2 linked regions of the Drosophila melanogaster genome follow. The protein of the gene in region 1 interacts with the protein of each later gene in a pairwise test. Each region holds a gene or a part of one and is shown on either strand. Other genes may lie near its edges.

The links.
Region 2: the proteins of CG12822 (region 1) and CG5446 interact in a two-hybrid assay, tested with the Drosophila melanogaster proteins (one large-scale study listed by BioGRID).

The regions. Positions count from the first base shown.
Region 1 is NT_033778.4:7,829,408-7,836,004, reverse strand, and holds CG12822 (uncharacterized protein), read right to left. Parts: upstream 3,835-6,597; 5' UTR 3,702-3,834; coding exon 3,640-3,701; intron 3,550-3,639; coding exon 3,363-3,549; intron 3,304-3,362; coding exon 2,314-3,303; 3' UTR 2,164-2,313; downstream 1-2,163. Other genes in the region: Atg10 (Autophagy-related 10), read right to left, coding at 1,427-1,692, 1,750-1,906, 1,972-2,067; Prosalpha1R (proteasome alpha1 subunit-related), read left to right, coding at 4,410-4,485, 4,548-4,724, 5,013-5,494; CG18853 (uncharacterized protein), read right to left, coding at 5,608-5,961, 6,024-6,413, 6,473-6,597.
Region 2 is NT_033779.5:12,424,557-12,430,772, reverse strand, and holds CG5446 (uncharacterized protein), read left to right. Parts: upstream 1-3,063; 5' UTR 3,064-3,205; coding exon 3,206-3,304; intron 3,305-3,385; coding exon 3,386-3,547; 3' UTR 3,548-4,142; downstream 4,143-6,216. Other genes in the region: CG5435 (uncharacterized protein), read left to right, coding at 1-26, 80-495, 580-701; Trm1 (tRNA methyltransferase 1), read right to left, coding at 801-975, 1,033-2,112, 2,176-2,630, 2,690-2,716; Fam92, read right to left, coding at 4,437-4,712, 4,764-5,234, 5,290-5,430, 5,485-5,644, 5,696-5,835.

The sequences.
Region 1 (6,597 bases):
CTTTAAACGAAATTTTATATATGAACACATATATTGAGATGACACAAACCGGATGTTGAACAATACATACATAGCATATATATTTCGTATAGTCGTATATGTTTGTTAAGTGCCAATAAGGTCCTCACAAATACAATACTCATAGAAGAATACCCTGTCCCAAGCCTTTTCTCACCCCCATCAGTAAATTTAACCGCCCAGGAAAAATTTCAAATCGAAAAACCACATTCCAAGCATTTCCCAGACCACGTGTACATTTTTAGACGCAAAGCACGAAGTAGTGCAAATCTGGTAAAGTGAAATCACCAATAATCTTGTTTGTTAAACGTAGTATCCCTAGAATCAAATAACTACTAGCTGATAGTTATTGAATGGCACGAAACCAAAGAGCACTATTTTTGAATTATTAGGTAATATGAGAGGCACTGCTCAGATGGAATGTTAATTGGATATACTCGCAATATAATATGTGTCCTTCGAATCGTTACTCCCCCTAAGTAGTTCGGAATATTAAAGCTTACTTCGAAGACTAACCATAGTTTTTACAAACACTTCACACCTAATGTTATGGAGCGCGTCGAGATATCCTAGCCATTTTCCGAGTCCAAATTGAGTTCTCCTCGTACGTGCCATCCTAACCGACCTTAGACTTCCTCAGCAGGATATCCGCACTGCACACGATTAATCCTTAATGTACGTGGACTCTTGTATACTGTCGAACTACTATTGCAAACCAACGTAATATACATAAAAGTCGATTTAATTTTGCAAATAAACATTTTCAATGCGATTCCCCGCGCCCACGAGTCCTCGGTTCCGCATGGAACACGGGGTTTTGGTGCCAGCGCCGGGACGCCGCTAATGCCACACAGTAGCCAGTTAACATTAATTATAAATGAACCACTTAATATTAGTAAAATGCAAAGCAAAGCGGCTCAGCAAGGCCACGCTTGTGTACAGTACAACTAGATGTAAGCGTATACCTGTCTAATGTTAAATCGAAGTAATCGAAAAGTAGCTACTAGTTGATATTAGCCGAGAAAAAATAACGAAAATAGCAAGTGGAACTTGAAAACTATACACTACGTTAAGCGATAAATAATGCCTAAGTAGTTGAATGTATTCACTAAGCGGAGTTATAACCTGTGTACAAAGCTGGGTTCCTTTCGTAACTTCATTAGTTTTTCATTTTTAACTTAAATTATCCATGTGATGTGCTGCTTCAGGTGTCATGTCACATGGTACGACCCTGTGCCCCATGGATCTTCACTTGTGCCAAGAACTGGTGGCGATGGGGTCCCCAGTTAAGGTGTAACCACTCTAAAATAGGGAACGAAATGTAAAACTGTAAAAGGGCATAAGCCATATTATCCATACATGTATACTCCTATAACCAGTGTTTAAAAAAACCACCAATAAATTCAAATTACGTATACTCTTGGCTTAAGCCGTACGCATTTTGCAGGTGCAACTGCACGTGGGGTCCGTACAGACTGATGAAGGTAAGCACCTGGTTGCAGCTGGGCTTTCCGAACTGCTTTAGCACTTCGGCGGTGCGGCATGGATGCAATGCCATAAAGGGTCTGAAAAGCACCGGGTGATCCATCTGGGTGAGTATCTGGTGGAGATCGCTGGCCTTCGATTCGGGCATGAACATTCGCCAAGTGGCCTCCACATCCAAAAGACTTCCATCTACGATAAGTGGATTTATTTTCACATCTAGTGAGATTTTGTAAAATATGTAAATACCTGATCTGTGTGCCTGGAAGAACAACATTGGTACTTGATAGGAAACACTGAAGACCACATGGTACTCCACACTAACCAACTCAGCCGAGTTGTCCTTGCCACCTCGGCATTTAATCTTCTGACTACATTTGAGATAGGTGTTTGGTTCATTCGAGTCCTTAATTGGGATGGAAAACGTATTAAATAATTAGCCCGAATTATAAAATCCGCACTGCGAGATACCTTTTGTTCCAATATCCAATTATCACCCAACTTCTGCGAAATTTCGAGGAACTGCTTGGCCTGGCTCAAAAAATCTTTCCAGCTCAAGTCGCCCATAATGCTGAAAATAAAGCACAAAAATATGCGTGTTAAAATCTTTAAACACTTCAAATACCCACGCGTAACGATACTTGAAAGAAAACAATTTCTTTTGCGTGGGAAACAAGCCTCATACATATATTTAAGAATGTCCTGTATTCTAGAGCAAAATTGAAACGCCAAAGGTTAAAGCTCCTCAACACAATACACTTAAGCTTAACACAAATCGTCAATTAACGAATATCAATTGCAATAATCCATAAGTTAGGCGCTGCGCAGGTCGCCGTCCAGGGCGGTAACCTGGACATTCTCGTTGCGCCGGACCTGAACCACAGTCACCGTGCCGGCCTTGTCATCAAATTTGCACGTCACCGTGACCTCCCGCAGCTGGAAGGTAAATATTTGCGAGCCATATTTTGTGCGCAAGTAAACGGAGCGCGGATCCGCCTCCAGAATGTCCACGATGCACTGCTTCTCCACCTGCAGCTCCTTTAACTGCGCCTCGGCATGCTCGTTAAAGGTCACGCTAAGTCTATTGCTGGCCACCACCCAGTTGGGCACTCGCACGGCGCTGGGTGGCGGCAGAATAGCGTCAGCTCCAATGCCCGCGTTCCCGCTGTAGCCAGCTGCTCCATACAGTTCCAGGTCCGATTCCTCTCCGTCAGGCTCCTGTCTGGAGTCGTAGAAGTCCAGGCTGCTCTCATGCGGTCCAACAGAGGTTCTTCCTGTCCGGGGCAAGAACTTTAGTTGCATTTCTGCTTGATTCTCGTCCAACGTACCTGAGTCAACGCTCAAGGATGGTGCATCGTAGTGTGGAATGTAGGGCTTAATGTCCAACACGGGTGTGCCGTCTACCATGTCCGTACCAAAGAAACTAATGGTGGCGTTCTCGATCTTCTCAATCTCCACCAACGAGAGACCAATGGGACACGGGCGGTGTGGAGATCGTGTGGAAAACACACCCACCCGCTCCCCACCAAGACGGGGAGGCGCCACCTTGGCCTTGGGGTGGGAATTGTTGCGGTGAAAATGATAGATGAGCCACAGATGGGAAAAGTCCTCTAGTCCCTCCAAGGAGTGCTCCGGATTGGTGAACACACCGTCGTTCAGTTGGATGATACCCCGCAGGCGACTGCCCACAATTGACTGCCTCGGCACGGCCCGCTTCTCTGGGAATGCTGTCCGGATCACTCCTATGGGCCGAAAGTGTGCGTAGTCCTCTCCCAAGCAGTGCCCACCATTGGTATAATTGCTCTAAGGATTGGGTGCGAGGTTTGTATGTGTCTTTCAGTGTGTGGGAGGGTCAAACGCACCTGACCTTGGCCCGTCTGCTGGTCCTGCGTCTGCTGTTGGTGCTGGTGCTCCTGCTTCTCGCCGGCGACCTTGTCCTTGGCGCTTTTGTTGTTGTTCGCACACCCCTCGCAGCGGAAGTCCTGCAGCAGGCGGGTTATCGTCTCAATGTCCTTGCGCTGCACATGCTGCAGGTTGCGCACTTGCTGCCTGCATCATGGTCAAGGCAAAATCGGTGTGAACTTGAACTATACCAGTAGCAAAAGGACACTCATGGCAATTTGCCTGTCTCAAACGCACCTGAGATTGTTGATCTCGTTCCGCGCGATGGTCAACTGACTCTTCAGATCATCCTCGTGCATTTTCGCTGCCGGCAACGCGCACTTGACTCCCAAATAATCCGCAATTGCAGCGTTCTCCGCTGTTATTGACCAATATTTACCTCGATTCTCAATGGTTACATCCAGCTAGAGTTGGCCATCACTTACGCACGGCACCGCGACGTTATCGATTGTCGATAGGTTCACCTGTGCTTAGTTACGGCCAACTGCCTTAATTCCAGTTAGATTTAGCTTGCGCTCAATAGCTTTTTTTACAAACATTTTCTTAAGAAATAACGTTGTAAGCCTCAACAAAAATTATATAAGATAACGTTACTGAGCAGTAAAAGTTTTGTCTTCAATTTACATATGTTTGTTAATATTTTTTTTTACAAATCCCTTTGCTCTATGTTGACTAATTTACAATAATTCACAAATAAAAATAGGAATAATTTAAACATTTTGTAAGCGTAGCTTAACACTATTTTGGCTTTTTCCAAATATTCGATTTCAATGATAAACGATATATCCCAGCGCGCGTTTCTTTTTGGTATTTTTTAGGTTCATTTTCGGGCTGAGAATGACAATCTGAATTTTGCACAGTAGGTTCGATTTGAAGCGACATTTTCCCTGCTATATACAAATTTGTAAATTTTAATTGTTCAAAAGGTGTGTTGCTTGCGGCAGACTTGAGAACTGAATTTTAACCGGCGTTGTCTATTGCAGCTATCGAAGCACGAAGAAAGCATCATGTCTCGCGGAAGTTCAGCCGGCTTTGACAGACACATCACGATCTTCTCTCCGGAGGGACGCCTCTACCAAGTGGGTTAGTATCCTGGCACTTGCGGCTCCATTGTATCCAGTCTGACATTCTCATTTCCCCGCCAGAGTACGCCTTCAAGGCTATTGCCCAGGAGAACATCACCACGGTGGCGCTGAAGAGTGGCGACTGTGCCGTGGTGGCCACCCAAAAAAAAGTGACCGAGAAGAACATCGTGCCTGAAACGGTGACCCACCTGTTCCGCATCACCAAGGACATTGGATGCGCAATGACCGGACGCATAGGTATGAACCATAGATACTTTAAATTCTTGTTTATCCCGGCGTGATTCGAGTCAAATTCCAGTCGAGTTAGCACAGAGTTATCCCATTGTTGATATGTCCCATGTAACCAAGTAGCGATTCACTTATGATTGTGCTAAAATCAGAAGAAATAGCCTGCCAGACATTAGGGCAAAGGCGTATAGCGTGGAGCCATTTTAAACGTAGTTTTCACACGGTGCTTCAACTAGAAAAGAGGACATATCAACCCAAGAGTGTCACTAAATACTTAAAATTATTTCTCTCCCCTAGCTGATTCCCGCTCACAGGTGCAGAAGGCCAGATACGAGGCCGCCAACTTCCGCTACAAGTACGGCTACGAAATGCCCGTGGATGTGCTGTGTCGTCGAATTGCGGATATCAACCAGGTGTACACGCAGAATGCCGAGATGCGTCCGCTCGGCTGCAGCATGGTGCTGATCGCTTACGACAATGAAATCGGCCCCAGCGTTTACAAGACGGACCCGGCTGGCTACTTCAGCGGGTTCAAGGCCTGCAGCGTGGGTGCCAAGACTCTGGAGGCCAACAGCTATCTGGAAAAGAAGTACAAGCCCAACTTGTCGGAGGAGAAAGCGATCCAGCTGGCCATCTCCTGTCTGTCCAGTGTGCTCGCTATAGACTTCAAGCCGAACGGCATTGAGATCGGCGTGGTCAGCAAGTCTGATCCCACTTTCCGTATTTTGGATGAGCGGGAGATCGAGGAACACCTCACCAAGATCGCCGAGAAGGACTAAGTTCTGTCCCGCTAGCTGTAATTTTGTCATATTTTATAAAGCCTCTTGGATCTATGGTTAAATAAAAAATGCTCTTGGCTTGCATTCAAAACAAAGGCAAATCCGAAAACGTTTTATTTCTTCTTGTGCACCTTACCGCCGTATCGCATGACAAAGGCATTTACATCGAATTTGCGACGGCATCCCTGATAGTTCATGTACCTAACCTTACCGAAGATAGCCCGCTCCTTCCAGCCCATGTCATGGACGCCGCCAATGGACCACATGCAGCCCACATAGCCGTTGGGGTCGCGACCATCCAGACTGTACTTGTCGTTCAGCAGGATTGCGTACTCCAACGCATGCTCCGGTGTCGCTGTCCATTCCAGAATCTTTTTGGCCCAGTACATGCGCAAAAAGCCGTGCATCTTTCCCTCGCGTACCAGCTGCAGTTGCGCCGAGTTCCACAGGTCGTCATAAGTGAGAGACTAGGAAAAAATTATAAAATCATTTTAGTCTCAAATCAAAAGAAAAAGAATCCGTGGTGAACCTTTTCTAGTTCTTCTAAGCTGTAGCAGGGATCTCGCTTGTCCTTGCGATGTGCATCTAGCGTTTGATATGCCCAAGAACTTAGACCTTTAAGACTATCATAGTGCTCGTTGTAGAAGCAAAAGTTATCCGCCTTGGCCTTGGGGTGGGAATTGTTGCGGTGAAAATGATAGATGAGCCACAGATGGGAAAAGTCCTCTAGTCCCTCCAAGGAGTGCTCCGGATTGGTGAACACACCGTCGTTCAGTTGGATGATACCCCGCAGGCGACTGCCCACAATTGACTGCCTCGGCACGGCCCGCTTCTCTGGGAATGCTGTCCGGATCACTCCTATGGGCCGAAAGTGTGCGTAGTCCTCTCCCAAGCAGTGCCCACCATTGGTATAATTGCTCTAAGGATTGGGTGCGAGGTTTGTATGTGTCTTTCAGTGTGTGGGAGGGTCAAACGCACCTGACCTTGGCCCGTCTGCTGGTCCTGCGTCTGCTGTTGGTGCTGGTGCTCCTGCTTCTCGCCGGCGACCTTGTCCTTGGCGCTTTTGTTGTTGTTCGCACACCCCTCGCAGCGGAAGTCCTGCA
Region 2 (6,216 bases), on another chromosome or scaffold:
ACTGTGCAGATCAAGAATGTATCATGGTAAGCTTTAGTTATGCCCGACTTGGCTCAAGATGACTATTGTGTGCTCTCAGGCAGCCGGAACTGCATACGGAGGGCACCTATGTGTGCTCTTTTCCAGAGCCCCCGCTGCCGGAGGCCCATCTGAAACCGGGCACCTGGCATGGCCATCTGGAGCCGTATCAGCGGCTCTTCTATCATCAAACGATGAACTCGGTGCGCTCGAGCAAGCGGTACCGTGCCAATCCGAACATCCCGAAGGATACGCTGGACTTTTCGCTGCAGTCGCGCTACGATCACACCCGCGAAGCATTTCCGGACAAGGTGGACTACGTGATGCAGAGGGAGACGTGCCGCGCCATAAGTAGCTGGTCAGCTCCTGGGGCGGCCAAGGAAATTGGTTCCCAACTCAAATCATTTCGGGTGTTGCGCAACACGCGCTTCATTCGGCGCAAGCAGGAGGACGTATTGGGTCATCCACTTCGCATAGGTAAGATCACAAAATTGGTACAAACCTAAAGTTCTCGACGCATTTTAAGTAACACCCACTTCGAATCTAATCATATTGTTGCAGGCGGTTGTAAAGAAAAGATTCATCCGCACAGCGTAAAGCTCATTTGCAGCGGTGTCCACAACCAGCTGGTGAACAATGGATTCTCGCGCCAGACCTCCGACGGCAACTTCTTCCGCTATTAGTTCCACAAATCTGTGTTTGCTTTCCCAGAAAGAATACCATTTTGCGTTTTGGGTTTTACAAACATTATTGGAAATAAATTTGGGACACAGAAGCAGTCGTCACGCAGTCGCCTCCAGCTTGGGCTGCTTGGGCAGGTGCTCCACATCTCCATCATACTCATCCACTGCTTGTGGAGTGTCCTGTTGGTCATCCTCCGCCTGTTGCTCCGACGCTTTGTGACGCTGTTTCTTGTTCTGGTTACGATAGCTCTTGGGTAGTTTGTTGTCACCAATCCTGAAATTGGATGGGAATTTAGTATGCGAAAGTGGGTGGCTCGATTACTTAGCTTACATAATAGTGGCTCTGGTTCCAGGTCCCCAATGTGGAGTCGGATTCTCTTGGAAGCGCGATAATGCCGATTTGCGACTCTTCGGGTTCGCCTCCGGATGGAGTTCATCGAACTCGTAGACAGCAGTGCATTCTTTCGAAAGTATGGCCGCCAGTGGAGATCCAGGAATCATCCTTTCGGGATTTACCGGATGTCGCTTGCTCCAGCTGCGCAGAATGTCCCATAGCACCGCTGGTGGAGCATTGGTTTTCAACGAATTCTTCGAGGCATGCGAGTATGAGACTCGATAGCCAGCGTGGAGAATAGCAGACCGGAACTTTAGCATGGGCACGATTTCTAGCTTGAGCACACAGCACAGTTTGTCCGGCGTGTAGTAAAGGGGAACATCCTGCAGCTCCTCTTGGACCATGGAAAGAACTCCAACGATTCGTCTCTGGGTTCCCAGCGATTGCAAGGTGGTCTCCTGGACCGCCGTTAAAAGATCCTGCACAAATTCGGGGTTATGAATCGGTGCCGACCAGATGGGTCCACCCAGATGATGCCTGTGACCGCAATGTTCGCACTGCGAGTTGACCGCCGGACCAGTGGGAATTCCGAACTTCAGCTGCTGGGGATTACCAGCCGTGGGATTTGGCTTGGTTATGCCCAAGGGCTGCAGCGTGAAGGTCTCACATCCGGTGCATTGGTATATCCAAGACTGCTTGCTCATCGACAGCTTGCATTGGGCCTGGCCGACGTACACACGCACAAATATCCGGATGTAAAAGTCCGCTGATATGCTCAGTAGTGGTTCGATGTACTTGCCGTACCTGTTCGCGTGGCTCTCGATGCAGTGCAGCAAAATGCGCAATGCCATCTCGTGACAGCACTTCATCCGCAGCGGAACCGATCCGTATTTTACATAGCAAGCTTCCGGAGCATTTCCGGCCAGCACGGCCATGTCGGTGGCTGTCACCAGCAGCAGGCCGCCGTCCACCAGGCACTGCATAGCGCCATCCAAAAAGCGATTGGGACATCCGTACGGATCCAAGTCAACTGCATCAAAACGCTTCTCGGGTTGCGTCGAAAGATACATGAGGGTCCTGTACGATGTATTGGAATGCCCCATTTTATACCGTGTGCCAATAGCTTAATTATAAACCTACATTGCATCGGAGTGACTGGGCTCGATCAGCTCCTCCACCTTGTTGTGCCGGATGTTTGTGTTGATCGAGGCCACTGCCTGGCGGGAAAGATCGTTGGCCACGATCTGGCGTACACCGGCGATTTCCTGCGCGTAACGGATGCTACGCAAACCGGTGGCTGCCAGTGCCTCCAGGATCCGAAGTCCATCCTCATATCGAGTACCGGCCTCATAAACAGGTGGATCCTCGGGAACGGGAGTGGTCTTCTCATCCTCCTGTTCCTTGACCTTCTTCCGCTGCTTTTTGAGCGCCTTTTCGCTCCGCTCCTTGGTCAATCTCTGTCGATAAACATTCAGAGCAGCAATGCTCAGATCTCGATTGAATTCCTGGACAGGATTGTAGAACACATTGCCGCCGGAAACGATCTCCGCATTACGTTCGCGTATCACGTTTTCGTTGGGATTTTCAGCAATAATCTGCAATCGTAATGCTTAGCTTAATGTGGTTTATTTATAATGTGTTTTTCTTTAAGAACCTGCGGCTTTTCCTCGTCCACTTCCATTTGGATGAGTTAAAAGAATACACGTGGGGCAGTGTTGAAAAACGTAAGCTACTAGCTATTAAGCTTTAAAACTAAAAATATACACAAATTTGTTGTTTTTTATATGAAATACGAAATAAACATTACAGAATTATATTTAAGTTTAATTTAGTTTCAAAATTTACAATTTGGGTATATTCTCTGTAATAATACATCCCATAAAATGATGTTGAATAAAAATGGTTCTTAATATTTATTTGAATTATTTAAAGATTAAAATAAATTAAAATAATAAATTGACATTAAATATGACTGGAAAATAAAACTTGAAGCTAGCTACTTTGCCACCACCAGGATTATCGAAAGGACTATCGAACCAAAGTCCGCCCCTATGCTTGATAAAGAAATTAATTTGCAGAAGTGAAACAGCCGCAGCCGCAAACAGAAGCAAAAGAGCTAGAAGTGATAGCATTTTTGTACTTTTATACAGTGCCACAAAGAAGCCACAGAATGACCGATCTGCGCAACGAGATGGACAGCGATCTGGACCAGAACTACTCCCTGAACAGCAATGCGGACCCCAAAAACATGCAGGAGCTGACCATATACGTGAGTAATGCCCGAACCGGGAACCACCCAGTAAATAGAGACACCAAATGAGCACCCAGTAAACCTGCCTCCTGTTATCAGGTACAAAATCTGTTGCAGAACGTTCAGGACAAGTTCCAGACGATGTCGGACCAGATAATAACGCGCATCGATGACATGGGCAACCGCATCGACGATCTGGAGAAGAGCATTGCGGATCTGATGAACCAGGCCGGGATCGAGGGTCAGGGACCGGAGAAATGAGATCCGTAGCGCTGGCACGGCCACGCCCATTCGGAAAGTGCATCCCAATACCATTAGATACATACATCGAACACCTGGCACCCAGTCACCCGTATCAAGTTTACAATTCCAGGTTCTCACATTCATTTAATCTCCTCCGCACCCAGCTGCTCCCCAAGAAATGAAGAAAAGAACACATTTGCTCATCCATTTATTGCTTAGTTTTAAGTTTCGCCCGGTCGGGGCACATCATAATTTAAGTAAAGTAATTCTTTTGTGAGCAATGGCCAATAATTTTGAATTATTGCCGTTTAGTTTCTATTTATAAATTAAAAATTCAAGAATTGTAAATTCCCTGCTATTTGGGTGTTCAGGACTTCGATTTAACAACGGTTACCAGGCGACCAGTTCCCGATTTGTGTTTCCTCACCTGAAAGTTTATTGCGAAAAGGGGAAGAGAAGCGCGTCATTTCCGCTTGATTAGTTATGATATGCATATATTTAGTATTGTTTATCTGGGACAAATAATGCAAATCGTGACCCGTGTCCATTAATAAAAAGTGTATGGAAATCAGCGCTGAATGGCAAGGAGTGCTATATAACAATCCCTACTTTTAAAAGGAAAATCAACATTGATTTGTGGACCAGAATGATTTTCGAATATTAATTGCAATTTGTGTTGCTTCTACATATCATGTTTTTTAAGGCAATGAGATAGAGAGTGGTAATACATTCTGATTAAATTATGAAAGGAAGCTCTGAGACTGCGGGGTTACAAAAACCAATTAAGATAAACCCTTAGAAGTATGTTCCTAATTCAATTTTATTTAAGCTCTTGCTACGATTCCAGAATGTGCCTGCAATACTGATGTGAGCTCTAGGAACTCTACTACTGGTCATAATTTGAGTGCTAGTGCTGGGGCACGTGGAACTGCTTCTGCAGCCTTACATGGGTGGAGGCCACCGCCTTGAATGGATGTTTGACCGTTTGTCTGCTGGGCTTCGAAGGAGCAGAAGTGGCACTGGCACTGGTCGATGGCGTGGCTATATCCTTGCTGGCAGATCGGATCTTGGCCCCAAAAACATTCTCCCGCGGAGGAACCTGGTTGCCCGGCTGCGTGGGTTCCCTCTCGTCATCCGTTGCCGTTCCAGATTCCTCGTCCTCTTCGCCACTTTGCTCGGTTTCCTTGGGAGGAATGGAGTTATTCTATCATTCCATAATCATGCCAAATCATACCTCATCTTCATCATCTTCCTCTTCATCCTGCTCGTCGGTTTCATCTTCGGGTTCTGTTTTACTTCCATGATTGATTCCGGCTCCCGTCAGATTCCTATTGCTCCTGGACAACTTCGGGCGCCTCTTGAGCGGACTGACCAGGTGCTCGTGCTCCAAGCTATCCATCGACTGGGAGCGCAGTCCCTTTTTGAGTGCAGTTTTCCTGGAAGCCAGCTCTTCTTTGGTCTTCATGAGTTTCTGAAACTCAATGAAATCGTCGCGCTCATCAATGGTTCCAATATCATAGTAGCTTGCGCTGAGTATCTCCAATGCCTTGGTGTGCTGTTTCATGGCGATCAGTATAAAATCGCTGATTATCTGCTTTAAGTCGCGCAACTTCCGCTGCTCGAAGTTGCCAATAATGTCGTCTATCTCCTTGTTTGTGCGCTGCACCTCCATTTTGGCCTTAAACAGCTCCGAATCGGCGGCACTCTACGGTAAGTTTTGGGAATTATATAAGAAGTAAATTGTTCGTTTTAATACCCACATTGTTCGCAGAAAACTTTGACTTGAGCTCAAGCATCTGGCGCTGACGTAGTACCTCCTTATCCCGCGCTATGACAGCCAGTCGAAGATTGTCCCTTGTGGACTTGCAAAGCTGCTCGAATTGCGCCAACTCGTTGACAATCTACATAAGTCAATAATATGATATAAGATGCAGATTTAAAAAAGGATAATTCACCTTGTGTTCCAATCGGTGTACATTGATGTCCATGTAATCACCCATTATGGTAACCGCGTTGGTGAAGCTCTTCAGTCCCTGACAGAGACTCTCGTTGATTTCCTCGTCGTCGGCGTAGCTCTTCACACTCTTGGCCAACTCATCAAAGGAGTCCCGATATCTGCAAGGTCTTATGATTATTCATTCAGATTTATTTATTTACCAAACTCACTTGGCCATTTTCCGCGTTACCAAAGCAAACGAAGAGCACATCTCCATTAGATGCCTTTCTGTTATGTTTATGCGCTCGTTTATTATTTTAACACGGTCATCTTTGGTGTTTAGAAAGGATAGTTTTCCACGACGAAACATTATTATTTTATTTTAGTCCCTTATATTTGTTTTCCTTCTTTATTTATTTTATTTCGACAATAAAATCAAGTGAAAACCGTTACCAAGGCAACGTCTAAATTCATCTGGCAACTCTCGTTCGAACAGCCAGCATATTTCCAGCTCTGTAAAATTAACAGAAATGTTAAGAACCTACTGCTGCCAGGTGGCGCTAGTATCAGCGTCTTCTGCAAGTACATAGATGGCGCAAGAATAAAGTTTATCAAGGAAATTTAAAACATTCTAAAAATATTCAATCCTAAAATAAATATCTGAATATGGGTACTTCATTTTTTTCCAACAGTGTCAAGGTCAAGAGCACGTTTCGTTATAATCTGTGAGTGTTTCTGTCTGTCATCCGGT